Linked DNA regions of Anolis sagrei. The protein of the gene in region 2 interacts with the protein of the main gene of each other region in a biochemical or structural test. Links are inferred from orthologs where the notes say so. Each region holds a gene or a part of one and is shown on either strand. Other genes may lie near its edges.

Evidence for each region. The genes of interacting proteins can lie anywhere in the genome.
Region 1: the proteins of DMD (region 2) and DTNA form a complex in vitro, tested with the Homo sapiens proteins (3 studies listed by BioGRID and IntAct, with this or other methods). The link is inferred for Anolis sagrei from reciprocal best matches to the Homo sapiens genes DMD and DTNA.

The regions. Positions count from the first base shown.
Region 1 is NC_090024.1:54,070,327-54,077,595, reverse strand, and holds the start of DTNA (dystrobrevin alpha), read left to right. Parts: upstream 1-4,269; 5' UTR 4,270-4,478; coding exon 4,479-4,495; intron 4,496-7,269. UniProt on the Homo sapiens protein: May be involved in the formation and stability of synapses as well as being involved in the clustering of nicotinic acetylcholine receptors.
Region 2 is NC_090023.1:81,688,196-81,695,970, reverse strand, and holds the start of DMD (dystrophin), read right to left. Parts: upstream 3,023-7,775; 5' UTR 2,899-3,022; coding exon 2,736-2,898; intron 1-2,735. UniProt on the Homo sapiens protein: Anchors the extracellular matrix to the cytoskeleton via F-actin. Ligand for dystroglycan.

The DNA of each region.
Region 1 (7,269 bases), on a different chromosome or scaffold from region 2:
TAAAGTCCAAGCAGCTTTAGCAAGCATAACCAGTGGTGAGGCCTCCTGGTAGCTGAAGTCCTACAATGTTTTGTGGACTTTTTGATTCCCAACTCTGCTGTGTAGTAAGCAAAGACATTGAAGCCTAACACTTTGTGAAGTCAAAAGAGAAACAAAGAAAGGGAATGTCTTGTTACCCTCTGGTTGAGACCTTTAATAATTGCAGATCGCTACAAGTCCTTTCAGGGAATGGAATGCAAATAAACTGTGACAGTCTCAGAATTAGAAGTTTAGTATCTATAAAACTTCCAGAGAGAGATAGTGGTAGAGTTACTTCTGGTCGTTTTTATAACCCCATCTCTCACAGGATATAAGCAAGTTTTACGCATTTACAAAAATGAGAGGTGACATGGAAGGAAATTGTTACTAGCCCTTCGTGCATCATCCGGCTTGGATTCTCGTAAGTGCGGATTTCCCCTCTCCTTGACCACGGACTGTTTCTGACAACGATGCTACCTTTGGGACTTTGGAATCTTCATCTGGGATTTCTTCAACTTGGGACTGTTTTTGGACGACAGCTTTTCTTCATGGCTCTTTGTTTTACCATTATCTTTGAACTGTGTGATTTTGGTGTGTTTTGAACTAACACTGGTTTAATCCGATTTTTTGCAAGTTTAATCCAGTTTATTTTCCAAGTTATTTATTTATTTTATTTACTTTATTTGTATACCGCACTCTCTCAGCCCATAGGCGACTCAGTGCGGTTTACAACCAAACCAATATACAAAGTGCACAACATTAGCAATTAAAACAGTAACTAAGGCAACTACATCAATATAACAATACATCAGTACATCAATCTAACATCAATACATCCATATAACTAATCCATCACGTCTCATCAGTAAAGTCATAATCTGATCTCCTCATCCATTATTCCAAGTTCCAAGATCAATCAATTAATTAAGTTCATTTTTTAAGCTGCAAGTTGCTGCAAACTTTGAGTTTTGACCAGAGACACTGAGGCAAGTGTCTCTGAGTCCTGTTTACTTTGATTTAATAAACTGTTGTTTTGAATACTTCCTTGTGTCTGGCTCTTTAAGGCATCTGGGTTCCGGCAGATAGTGTACATTGAATTTTTTAGTTCTTAGGTAGCTAATTCTCTAAAATACTGTTTCAAAATGTTTCAAAGCCTTTTGAGTATCAAACAAAATAAGCAAGCAAGCAGGCAAAGTAAATCCAGTTGTTAGTCTTGCCTTCAGTTAAACTGTCTCTGAACTGAAGTTTGGTACAGTGTACATTTCCAGGTGACCGAAGCAAGCTCAAAAGCAAGCTCCACTGCAGCTGATTTTATATGTGGTAGGTTTGTATCAGATTGCAGCCTTACTCAGTAGTTCAGGATTAATATCTATCATTTGTGGCAGGTATATCTAATTGGAATATTGTACTAGATTCGTAAACATTTGACAAAGTCTTTCCCAACTTGTCATCAAAGTGTCTGGGCCATGTTTCCATTTGAAATTCCAAACTGATTGCTCTCAGAAAGGACAAGCAACAACCAGACCTAACTCAACACAAAACCATGGTAGATGCCTCGAGATGCCACATAACATTCTTAGTTATTGTCAGGATGGCAGCAGCAACTTGTCGAGTCAAAAGGCAAAATTCCAAAAAGTTTGTTTTAGAAATAAAAAGGGGACATTATAAATCTGGGAAATCATGCCCCCGGTGGTACAGTGGATTAAACCCTTGTGCTGGCAGGACTGAAGACCGACAGATCACAGGTTCGAATTCAGGGAAAACATGGATGAGCTACCTCTGTAAGCCCCAGCTCCCCGTGCAGAGACATGAGAGAAACCTCCCACAAGGATCGTAAAGCATCAGAATATCCGGGTGTCTCCTGGGCAACATCCTTGCAGAAGGCCAATTCTCTCAAACCAGAAGCGACTTGCAGTTTCTCAAGTCTCTCCTGAGATGAAAAAAAAATCCTGCTGGGTGCCCCAAAAGTTGAAAGAGTTTATCTAAGCATCATAACAGTTTGGGAATTTTTTTGTTTAATAATCTTTATTTAATTTTTAAAGAGTACATTAAAAATAGTATAGCATAAAAATATGGTGGTCTTTAAATAAAGAAAGTTATATAGAGTTAAAGATACAGATAAAGATTCGTGTGGGATATGATAAAAGGGAATTGGAGGGTGGGGGGGGGGGGGTAGAAAGATATGACAAAATGGCAGTGTGAAAAGATACAAAGATTAGCTGATAATAAGTGGGAAGTAGGAAGATATATAGAAAGATAGCATTGAAAAAACAGATAAGAACGTAGATGTCTTGGTTTCCCAGTGTTTTGTCTGAGGTTCTCTCCATTTCCTTTCTTTTCCTTTTACTTACTTGTTTTTTCTCTTTCTCCCTCCCTTCATTTTTCCCATTTCTTTCTCTTGTCTAAATAAGTTTGGGAAATAATTTTAATGGGCTAACAAAGAGGAGTGACCTCTCTAAGATACGACTGTTAAGATTCGTAAAGCAGGGGAATAATTGGGAAAACAGGAAAGGGCTAAAAGACTGCCACTCAGATTCCCGAACTTAAAGGAGGGTCTGGAAAATATCTTTCCTAAGTGAGATTTGTGAGGTGAAATGGGTGGCCAAGAAATAAAAATAGATTCAGTGGATGATTAGTTGCAGATCCAGACTGCAATAGGCACATTCCCCATGGCAAGAACATCAGAACAGCCCTGTTAGATCAGGACAAATCTCTCCCAATCTGCCATTCTGATCTCAGAATGGGAATATCTATAGGAAGTCCACCAGCAGAACACAATTGCTCTAGGACATTAATGGTTGTGTTCCCTCATAAATGAACGTACTGAAAGGCATGCCTCTTCTGAAAGTAATAGCCATTGTTGTCCTCCATTATTTTTTTTATAATCCTTCCTAAAAACGATCAATGTTAGCGGCCATGACTATCTTTTAATGTTGAATTCCACAGCTTCCCTTTACATGGTATAAAGGTACTTGCCCTCAGTCTCAACTATTCAGTTTAATTGGAATAATCTAGGATTTTAGCATGAGAAAAGGAAGACATATTCTTCTCCCCTTTCTCCCCATGCAGAATAGGCACACTTAGTCATTAGCTAATATTAGATTTGGCAGCAGTATTAGATTTCAGCTACCTCTTTCTTGGAAATCGGCTTGGCATCATTCCCTGATGTTTCTGTACCAGCCTGTTTTTCTAAATCCATTAATAATTTTTCTTAAAGTGCTATGGAGAAGACAAGATATCTATAAAGCTTACATTTTTTTCAGCTTTCCCAAAAGCGAATTACAGTATTCTTACATGACTTTAAGTAAGATTAGACAAATGTATAGCAGGTAGATCTACCAAAAGCTAGTAACACTAATTACTAAAAATTACGAGTGTAGACATACATTGAATCCAAGTGCTTGATTGTATTAAAACCTTCTGATAGCTTCAGAATATAATCCAAAAGACAAAATAATAATTAGTTCAAGAACTTACTAGATTTGCAGGTAAGCAGATTTATGCCACTAGTTTCCACATAGTATATGGAGGGAATGCCCCTTCGGAGATTGTGAATGCAGTGTCTTAATGCTGCTGATACAATGCAATTCTAAATGTTATTATAACTGCAGTTTTAAGTAACGCTTTCATGGAAATAAATTTCATTGACATATAGGGCTCTTACAAACAGGCATGTTTATTTATTTAGGTGTTCTTGTCTCTCTTTCCAAGAGAGAATGCCCTCAAAAAAGTGCTTTGGGATCCAGATGTAGATAGATGCTGTTCATTTTGGTAATACGGATGTTCCAATTGTGACATAGAGTGGGTGTTGCTCTTTTCACTCAGCTCTGGGATTCTCTATATGCTCAGTGATGTAGAGCACATAATTACGCATGTTCTTAAGGCCGGGTAGCTCCTGTCCTCTGTTGCCGCAGGCTCTCAGGAATGTCACTTGCAGAACATTCCTTTCCTGGGCAGCCAAGTTTGGAAGCTAGTTTATTCCTGGCTGCAAAACTGCAGTAATGCCTGAATGAGAGACATGGCAGGAGGGCTTCAATTTCTGCCTGTACCCAAACACCAAGGAGAAGCAGTGAGAGCGTCTTCTTTCATCTTGCCGAGACAGGTAACAACAACCGCAGAAGCAGCAGCTGTCTGGGGCTCTCCAAAGGAGGGAAAGTGAGGGAGGTGGAGTAACAGGGGGTGGGGGAGAGAAGAGAAAGGGAGTGGATCTGAGTGCTTGTGATTGGTAAGCCTCATGAAGGCATCTGCCAGCAGGACTTCAGAGGAATGTGAAACCAAATCATTTACAAGTTAAAGATAGAACCAAGAGTACATAGCATCTTGGGCACTAGTTTCAACTTAGTCTCTTGAAGACTGTTGCCTTGGGAGTTTTCTTTTCACTGCCTCCAAGGCACCTCAGTTTTTATTCTATCAGACTCTCATTTAGTGTTTTGGAATAACTAGGAGTGTGTAAGAAGATCATGGTGCATGCTGCAGGGTAAGTAACAAGCTTCATTTGAACTCCTTATTTCTTTTACCATGCTTGTTCAGCTTCTGGTCTGAACGTTACAGGGAGGCATGCCTACAGGTAATGTTCCCTGTTTGCCCCTTCAGAGTGCATGCCTCAGCGAATTGGCATTATACAACTTTTCTTGTTGTGGCATGCATGAAGACATATTTAGATTGAAAGCAGTGTTTCTTTCCTGCTAGATTTATTTTGCCCTAATGGTGTGCTAAATCTTTTTGTTTCAATTGCAGAATGAAAAGCACTTCGGCCATAGTAAATTTAGGAGCAAATTCGTATTTCTGTGTATATAGCATAGTAGCAGGCTATCCTAGATGCATCTTAGTGCCTCCTGTTATTCTATTCTGATTCTGGCACTGGTTCTGTGTAGCTTGGGAACACAAATAGATTTTTGTATCCCCAAGCTTCAGTTTGGCTTTTTTGGCAGGGTATTTCACTGTGGACTGTTTAGTTTTTTTGTCTGTGCATTTATGCTCCATTAGAAATATGCAGTAATCAAGAGTGATCTTTTGGTTAATTGAACAAAAGTAAGCAAGTGCTTGTTTATTAGATGAGTCTACTTATCTTCATTTGAATTGTAACATTACGTCCAGCTATTTATGTGTATATTCCAGTGAGGTTGGTAGATCTTTTGGAAGAAAATACTTACGTTATTTACATGTGAGAAAGAGATTTAATGGAATTATTTTAAAAACAATATTATTTAAAAAATGACACAGAGGAAGGAAGGATCCAGGCATATTATTTACTTCCTTGCCAAAATGAAATGTAATGCATAGGCTGTGCTTTACTTCATTGGTGTTTGTTAAATATTGGTCTCCTATGAAGTCATTTGTAGCTTGCACTTTTATTATGGTGTAAAATATTTCCTCCACTCCATTAATAATATTACATTTTTGAAATTTTATCTGTAACAAGGCTTTTTGCACTAGCTGTAGGAGGCAAAATGTTTTTTTTTATGGAGATATAAAATTACTGTTCCTCTGCTTGCATTTTAGAGAGCTCTTAAATTTCACAAAGATATCTTCAACTTGAAAATATGAGGAGAAACACTTGGCTACAACTCAAATCATTTTTGAACAGAAAATCTTCTGCACCTGACATTCTGTTCCTTTTCTTTGATAACTAATTCCATAAGTCACAGTGCTCAAGAGAATTGGGAGGAGGAGTGTATAAATAGCAAAAATAAAACTGAATATATGCAGTCGTTGCTTTTCCCCTGGTGACCATGACCGAGAGGAAGTAGAAATAATTTGCAAGAACAAAATGCAAAATGGAGGGGAGGAATGTGGGGATTATAATGTGCTGAATGGGATCTTAACTTAATACTTCTAATCTTCAGATTTTTGTGTACTGCTGTATGTATAATCATAGTATTTTAAGCTTTGTGACTCACAAAGTAGACTGAACAACCCCAACCTGGTCAGCCATTAGGCTACTTAGTGAACGGGTACAGTTCCAATTTTAGAAGTGGACGGGGCAGTGTTGGCACTATACCTTGTTGTAAAGTCAAGTTGGGAACAAATACTTTTGAAATTGGTCTGGGTCAGGTGCTTGTAGCTTTTCAATTCTAGGCATAACTTAGTAATTTAAATATGCATATTCTTAGAATCTAGAAAACTCTGTAAGAGATTTATACTAAACTGTTAAAACATGTATTTAGGGCATAGCCCAGCCAAAATTAATCCCTTTTATACTGAAGCTCTATGCACATGAACCTGGAAATAAGCAATGTTGAAAATATTTGTCTTTATTTCCTAACTAAACATCCATAGGATTGCATTATTATTCCCACTCATTTCAGAGCTAAACAGATGTTTAACTCTTATTCATATCAGTGGAACATTCATCTGTGTTGTAGCTGGATTTTGCCAGAAGATTTTGCTCATACTTAAATGTATACTCTCCTTTCCTTCTGTGTATAACATACATAGGGAAACAGTACTTGAGCATACTCACATCTAGTGAAAAGTCACTCTGTAAGATTTCCTGGTTTCCTCTAATAGAGGATGATGTATGTGTCATGTATGTGCATATGGGATAGAGCAAATAGAGCAATGAGACTTTCTCAGGCCCCTTCCACACAGCTGAATAAAATCCCACGATATCTGCTTTGAATTGGAATATATGTCATTGTGTACTCAGATAACCCAGTTTCTGCCTTGATATTCTGGGTTATATGACTGTGTGGAGGGGCCCTCAGTCATTGGTGTCCAAATCCTGGTAAAGCCTTTCCAGAGCAGTATGCCTACCTACATTCCTTTGCAATGTTAGGTCAGTAGTGAAGATTTCTATTGAACCATACTTTTAATTAAATGTTTTGACTACATCCAGACAAGTTCCTACTGCTAGCAATAAAAAAGACATTATTCAGCTGTACTATCAATCCCTTTTTGACAGAAAAAAAGATAAAAGGGCAGGAAAACACATCAGGGTTATAAATGGAAGATACCTGAAACACCCTTCCCCCCAGCTCTGTGAATGAAGAGAAACAATTACACCATAAAGGTTTTATTTGGAAGTATCCTACTTCTTTTACAGTGTTTCAAACGGATGCTGCTTTTGTAATGTAATCATTTATTGTGTGTTAAAATCCATGGATTTTCTGGTTTAGCTAATCACATTCAAGCCACCTTGAATGTAGTTTGTTGTTTATATAACAACAACAGCCACAACAATAGATAATCATTTTCCTATACTGTATGACCACCATATCCATAGGGGATACATTTCTGGACTTAACAAAG
Region 2 (7,775 bases):
TTGTTGATGCTGAAAATAGCTAGGTGCAGGTGCACGTTGACTCAGAAAAGGAGGACAGTTCTCAGCCTGATAATGAGCAGGAAGGCAAACTGGATAGCACTAACGAACAGACTGACCTTGATGAAGCGGGAACCTTAGATCGTGCTGACAGTTTGGAATTCAGAGTTCGAAGGAGTGTGAGAATAACTAACAAGAAGGAGGTCAGAGGCCAAAGAAACGCTTTTCATGTTTTGCAAAGGGTATTAAGCAGAGTGTTTGGGACCAAACCTTTGTCAGAGCTACTTTTCGTTTAACCAAGAAGCTTGCATTTTGCTTGTCTGGATTATCTTGCAGTTCTTGAGTTCATGGTCTCAGGATTCAGTCATGTTCTCATGGGATTTTGCTTTGCTGGTGCCTATTTGGATCATGCTTTCAAGGTGTTGTTTTGTATTGATCTTTTAGAACATTACTTTTGCTTTTAAGAACTTTTTATCTTCTACTTTTCAATAAACTATAAGACTTCTGGCTGTGTGCAGTTTGGTGTTTTCAGGAAGGTGAACCTACTCTGAGGTGTGACATTAGGGTGTTTAATAGATCAATAATGGCAACACATGTTTAACTAGTATCAGGCAGTGCCAAATCACTATATGTATCTTTAAATGAGCAGCCATCCAACAATCTCTGAGGCCAGATGGTGGTAAATTGATATTTTAGAATGATGTTTCATAAATGTAGTAAGATTTTTACAGTTATTATGTCCCAAGATTGAGACGAAATTCAGAATAACTCTGCCATTTTATTTCACCATAGCAGTGGGACTTTTAAAATATAACAACCATCGATAGTACAGTACATTTGACATTCATAATCTGTTCATTTCACTGTGACACTAGCACTTCAGTTTATTTTCATTCTAACAGTTTGGTTTAAAAAGAAGGCATCCTCACATTCACTCTCCAGGCATAGAGAACCACTGCCGAGATAACAGCAGTCCTTCCAACTACAGATGTGGGACTCACAGAAGCTGTATACACTTTTCAAGTTTGTATTGCAGCTCCAGTTTCTACAATATTCAGCTAAAATTATTTTTTTCTGCAAGGTTTCCCAGAACACCAACTATGTTAGTCTGAGACCAACCCTCTAGCATTTCAAAAGCAAGAAAAGCTGTTATTGTAACATAAGCCTTTATATATTAGATTCTACTTTTATCAAACTATCAAAATCATTTGACTTTCTTGAGAGAAAAGTGACATATACATATTTCAAATAAACAAATAGGTGTACACATGAATAAAAGGTGCACTGCACACATGTATGATAATTTTTAAATGGACGAACAGCCTCCTGTGTGTATGTTTTGTATGGTTGACAAACATTCTATCTGTCTTTATTGCAAGATCTGGATCTTTCTAGGTATGGGCCTCGTGGATCACCATATGTGATCCCAAAAGTAGTCCCCACAGCCATCCTACCTCTGTTGCCCCAGGGAGAGGGAATGGCAGTACCACCCCATTCTGATGTGCCAGGAGCTCTGGAGAAGCCTTGTGCCTTGGTATTTTATGGTATGTTTTTGGATGAAATGGGGTGGGGTAGGGAGGTGAGAGGGTTAGTGGCGGCTATATCCCACTCTGTGAATCAGTACAGGTGGATATCTGGCCACCTCCCCAACAGAAAGGTGAGGTGTCAGACCCATGTGGCTGAAAAATGCAGGAAGAATCAGTGTTTTAAACACTAATTCCACTTGCATTTTGGCCAGTGTAAAAGGGCCCTGAATCACTCACTCTCAGCCACAGAAAACCCCATGATAGATTTGCCTTAGGCACACAACAAAAAAGAAAGTAATATAGAATGTAAGAGGACTAAGAACATGTGCGTCCCATTGAAAACAATGGAACACTTACAATTTACAGTTACTAAAACTGCTCTCATCTGTTCTGTCTTTTTAAAACAAAGCAATCAGCAATATGTTTGATAAAATGCCCTTGTTAATCCATATAGCATGCTTTTGTGCATCCTTTGACATATATAATAGATATCAATACTTGTAGAACACTAGTCACAGCTCACAATGAACATAATACATTCTGATTCTCTAATAATAACAAACTGACCCATATGTGGTTTTTAACCCAGTGACCCAGTTGTTTTACTACTCTAGTAAATTATACAACGATGTTTCATATAATGCATAGTTACTTGGAACTTAGCCATACTAAACTCAAAAGGATTAATGCATAAGCATACATAAGCTTTTGTTTATTTGCGACGCCTTCAGCTTTTAAGATAAGTATTCTGTAATATATACAAAACAGAATTGTTGGGTTAACTGTGCTAGTGTAAACACTGAATGTTCTGCAGAATAATTTCCAAACCACTGATTCTATGGGTTAAGTTTGCCAGGAGCTATAGTAACTTCTATGTTTCATGATTATTATATTCTCAGAGTCAGTTTCTATAATAAAATTAACATTGAAGTCACACGGTACAAGAACCATGTTACTATTAGTACTCTATTCAAACAACAATATTTCTTTTTGACTTTCCTCCACTCCTTGTTTCTAAGTTGTTAGAACGCTACCTTTTAAGGTCAGAATACAGCAGTAAGACAAACTTGTCAGAAGACGAGGCAAACTGATCCAAAAGCTATCTTTAGGGAATGACACTGTTAGAATGTTAACACCATTTAGGCTTTGTCATATTTATATACAGTGGTGAATTGTTTTTATGTATTTATTTATTTATTTTAAAAGACTTACCAGATGAGTCACCAGATATTTCAAAGAATGTCCTGGCTCGTACTTCCATGAGAAAGCTCTCGCTCGTATACATACACACACACACAAGCACACACGCACACACACTTCTTTTTAATTTCCCAGTTGGTTCCTCTCTAACACTGTGAAGATAATGCCTGCACATCTACCGGTGCAATTTTCAAGAGTCAGAAAATAGCACAGTTGTTTTAGCTGCCTTCAGGAACATTACATTCTCTGATGTACTTGTAAACAGTTAGAGCAAAGATAAAGAAGTCTCAGCTACTATCCTGTGAGAATACTAATGTCAACCTCCCCTCCCCTCTCCAGGGCAATGGTTTCTTCCAACACAGTGTCAATCTACCTGATTATGTTCTTTTCTAATCAGTAATCTTTGTTTTCTCTGTAACTGCTGAACCTTCGGTTCATGTGGGAGTTTTGCAAGGAGGCACCATCAACAAGGTAACTGCAATGCAAAAGCAAAAAAAAAAAAAAAAAAAAAATGGGGGGGGGGAGCAGAAACCCCTGAAAGTACTTGGATTGTCCTTAACGTTAACTCTGTCTATACCGAATAAATGTGACAGTGTCTTTGAAAGGGACTAATCCTGTTTTGCCAAGCCTTTTGAAAGTGTGCTAAATCCTTAAGAAGTCTTACTGCATGGCTTGGAGTATTATCCTTAAATATGGAAGGGATTGGAGCTGAAATTAAAAACCAATTCACTAAATGTTTCTTTGTGAAAATACCTCACCTACAATAAGTATTGCCTTCTGTTTCATCTCACTACTAATGCTTAGTATTTGCATTGTGCTGTACACTAATAAATCAAGCTTATGTTCAATGTATTGTCGAAGGCTTTCATGGCTGGAATCACTAAGTTCTTGTGGGTTTTTTTGGGCTATATGGCCATGTTGTAGAGGCATTTCTCCTGACGTTTCGCCTGCATCTATGGCAAGCATCCTCAGAGGATGCTTGCCATAGATGCAGGCGAAACGTCAGGAGAAATGCCTCTACAACATGGCCATATAGCCCAAAAAAACCCACAAGAACTTAGTAAATCAAGCTTAGCTTCAAGTGAAAATGCTGAAGAACTGGTTTAAAATCTACAACAGTGTGCATCTCTAAAGTCTCCATCCTATTCAGAAGCAGAATAATTGAAGGAAGAGGGGAGGGAGCGGTATCCATCAAATTTCACCAAACTTATCAGGGAGGAGTTTGACTGCCCCAACACTTTCCCCAAAAGTGGGGAGCACTAGAAACAATACTACCCCTTTTATTTGTAGTTTATTTAATTGTTGCTGTTTTGATGCAGTGTAAGAAGCACCAAAACACAGTAAAATTGTGTTGGTAGCCAGGATACCATTTTGCATGATTTTGCACCATTTCCCCCATGTTTTAAGCTATACCAATGTGGTAGACTAAGCAAGGTGGGAAGGGGGGGAGAATGGCAATTGTCAGAAAGATTATATGAATAATCTGAAGGGAAAAAAAAACAATGTTTCTTTTTCAAGAAGAACTGGGAGGATTTTTCTCTCCTAAAGTATTAACTATGAAAAAATTAACCTCTCAATATGTATGCATACAATTAAATTGGCTTCTTGGGGCATCATCTTCCCACACAGTGTGTGTATGTATGCATACATACATATGTATGTTTGTGAATGTGTGTATGACATTTTTAAAATAATTTCAAAGCAGAAATCATATCTATTCAGAAATAAGCACAATGAGTTCCAATGGGCTCAACTCTCAGATAAGAATTTGCATCATTGAAGTTTTAGGGTAAGTTGTACACAGAGGCAGCCCTAGGTAATTTTCAATGGTAAGCAAACAGTATTTTGGCACACACCCCCCCCCCCCCAACCAATCACTGATATATATTTTCTGTTTGTCGTGGGAGTTCTGTGTGCCATATTTGGTTCAATTCTATCATTGGTGGAGTTCAGAATGCTCTTTGATTTTAGGTGAACTATACATCCCAGTAACTACAACTCGCATATGTCAAGGTCTATTTTCCCCCAAGAGCACCTCAAGAGCGCCCCTGGGCAAAATCAACTATACTGCAAATGCTTACTTTGCATAATGGGTTAAGCCGTGCCTGGTTGTACACAAAAGCTCCTTCAGATTTCCTGATCTAACACTATGGAATTTTCCAGATGCCTTCTCTGCCAAATATTGCCACTGTTTCATTAAACTGCAACTCCCATGATTCCATAGCATTAAGCCATGACATTTAAAGTGATGTCAAACTGGACTCGTTCTACAATGTAGTTTCCATACCCTCATTTACCAGGAAATATCCTTTCATCTGCTGAATCACTGTATCTGAGCCTCATAAAATCTATACTGAATATGTATTCAGCACATTCACTTTTTGAGAGAAAAAAGGAATGAAAGCACGTAATGATGAGAAAACAGGCTACCATTTCTTATGAAAGCAAGTGGAAAGGAGACAGGTTCCAATATTGAGAAAATGCACCAAAACAGAAAGAAATGAGATTTAGAGCCCTGATATATAGTTCTTGAACTGACACAATTTCCCTCAAGAGTTTAGCAAGAGTTTGAGTTTCGCCTCAGCTCTCTCTCACCAACCAGAGACCAACTCTGGTCATGAGCAGAGATGTGAAGAGTTGGTTCAATATCCTAAGGAAATTTCTCTGGACGGCTGCAATAAGAAAGCTTAATTTTACCTGAAAGTTGTGCTGGTTGACAATTACAAACAGTTCACACTGGGATCTCAGAAACACACAGTGTCCTTCCCCTAGTACTTCAACTGGCAGAGGCAATGAGCTGGAGTTAATTTATTTTGTAGAGGTTATGTAAATCTTTGAAGACATTTCCCAATGGCATTTATTCTCTTCCAGGGAACTTTGGCTATTATAAAGTTCCAATCCCTGGTTCTTAAGTATGTAAGTTTACTTTTTAAAAGTATTAAGTCTGTGAGAGAGACCAAATAGAATACTTGAAAACCCATCACTGACCTCTTGATCTCTGGATTACATCAGTGGAAGGGATATTGTGAAGATGATACTGAATCTCCTAAATGGAGAAGAATGATTTATGCTAGTAATCTACTGGAGTTTACTGACAGAGGGGAAATGGGAGAGGGGGGAGAGGAGGGGAAGCATAGCTTGGAGGGGTATGATGGAAATGTGTATTCATGTGAGTAGATTTAAGAAGTAATCATCTACAACTTTTTTTCAAAAATTGAGCATGGCTCTAAAAAAACCTTGTAAAATAAATGTAACCAAATCCATCCAAACAGAGTTAACAGACTAGTTAAAGCATTAACATTCTTTCCAAAATATATTTATATCACACACAGAGCATGGATGAGGGTTGTTTTTTTTAGTAGGACACAAGTTGGTATCTTAAATATTCATATTGGTAACAGAATACTGGTGTTAAAAAAGGGTTCTCCCCCTTCCATTGCGATTTGAATATGCCTGTCCAACAATACAAATCTTATTTCAAATGGTACTCTGGTTCAAATATCATATACCAAAAAAAACCATTTCTTTGTGCTGAAAATATGTGTTTCTTCCTCAACAAGAAATTAAAAGGAACAAAACCATTTTGGTCTATTTGGACATTCATGTGAAAATTCCAAATTATATCATAGCCCTGTTTTCAGCTTGTTGTAGAGTTGCTGTTCATTTTCTGTTAGTGAAAAACAGCAGGGATAGTAACATTACACCATAGTATTAATGTAAGACAATGTTAACTGCCATACCTCCAAGCCATGAAACCCTGGCAGTAAGCTGAGGTATGTAGAATTGAGTTGCTGTAGGTTTTTTCGGGCTTTATGGCTATGTTCTAGAGGCATTTCCTCCTGAAGTTTCGCCTGCATCTATGACAAGCATCCTCAGAGGTTGTGAGGTCTGTTGGAACTAGGAAAATTGGGTTTATATATCTGTGGAATGTCCAGGGTGGGACAAAGAACTCTTGTCTGTTGGAGCTAGGTGTGAAGGTTTCAACTGACCACCTTGATTAACATTTCATGGCCTGGCAGTTTTTTGGTGTGGCTTCTTAGTGCCTGGGGAAATCTTTTGTTGAGAGGTGATTAGTTGTTCCTGATTGTTTTCTCTCTGGAGTTTCCTGTGTTTGGGTGTTGTTTTGCTGTTATAATTTTAGTGTTTTTTTAACTGGTAGCCAGATTTTGTTTATCTACTTAAGGCAAATGCTTGCCTCCAGCCTTATGTCACAAGGCCATAACATCATATAGGAAGAGGCCTCATGGGACATCTAGTATTATTCCCTGTTCAGTGTGTAAGTATAGGATGCTATGTCTCATTCACAAAAGAACTATTGCTTGTCTTAACAGATGTACATCTAGTTTCAAATCATTATTTATTCATTAGATTCAACATAAAAGAACATTAAAAGTTTATAGGTTATAGAACATAGGTATAAGATTATTTGGTACTCTAACACCCATTTAAAACACATCCAAAATTTACCTATTGCACACACATCCATATTAAATAAAGCATGAAAAACAGTTTTGGAATATTTTTCCACGTCTTATCTGGGTGAGTAGTGATTTGTATATGACTGGGTGTTGTAAGCATCTTCCCCCTCCTATGTGGTTGTGTAGAAAATAAACAACTGGCAGAAAATAGAATGATCAGGTGTTATTTAGTAACCTGGAACTAGTTTCAGATTTGGTTACATGGCAACTGTGAGAGTAGCAGCACTTACAGTATCTGAGTGCTGGTATAATAAAAAATATGGTAAGGATAATAGCAGCAGCAATTCTCCAGAATCCCCACTTGTCACTTCTGCCATATGTAGGTGATCTGAAGAGAGGTGGCATTTTTAAAAGGACAATGGACAGGGCCTCAAGAGAGGGAACATTTGTCATGGTATGTGCATATTTTTTCTTGTCCACTGTCAATCCTGATCAAAAAGGCTTTGCAAGTCTGTATATGAATCCCCAAGCAGTCTATTTGCCAGATGTCAAATTAGGTCACCACAAGAAGCAATCCCCTTTTAAGGTTTGGTTCAAGATTTCTCTAAAATAACCATAATTATTGTCTATCTCC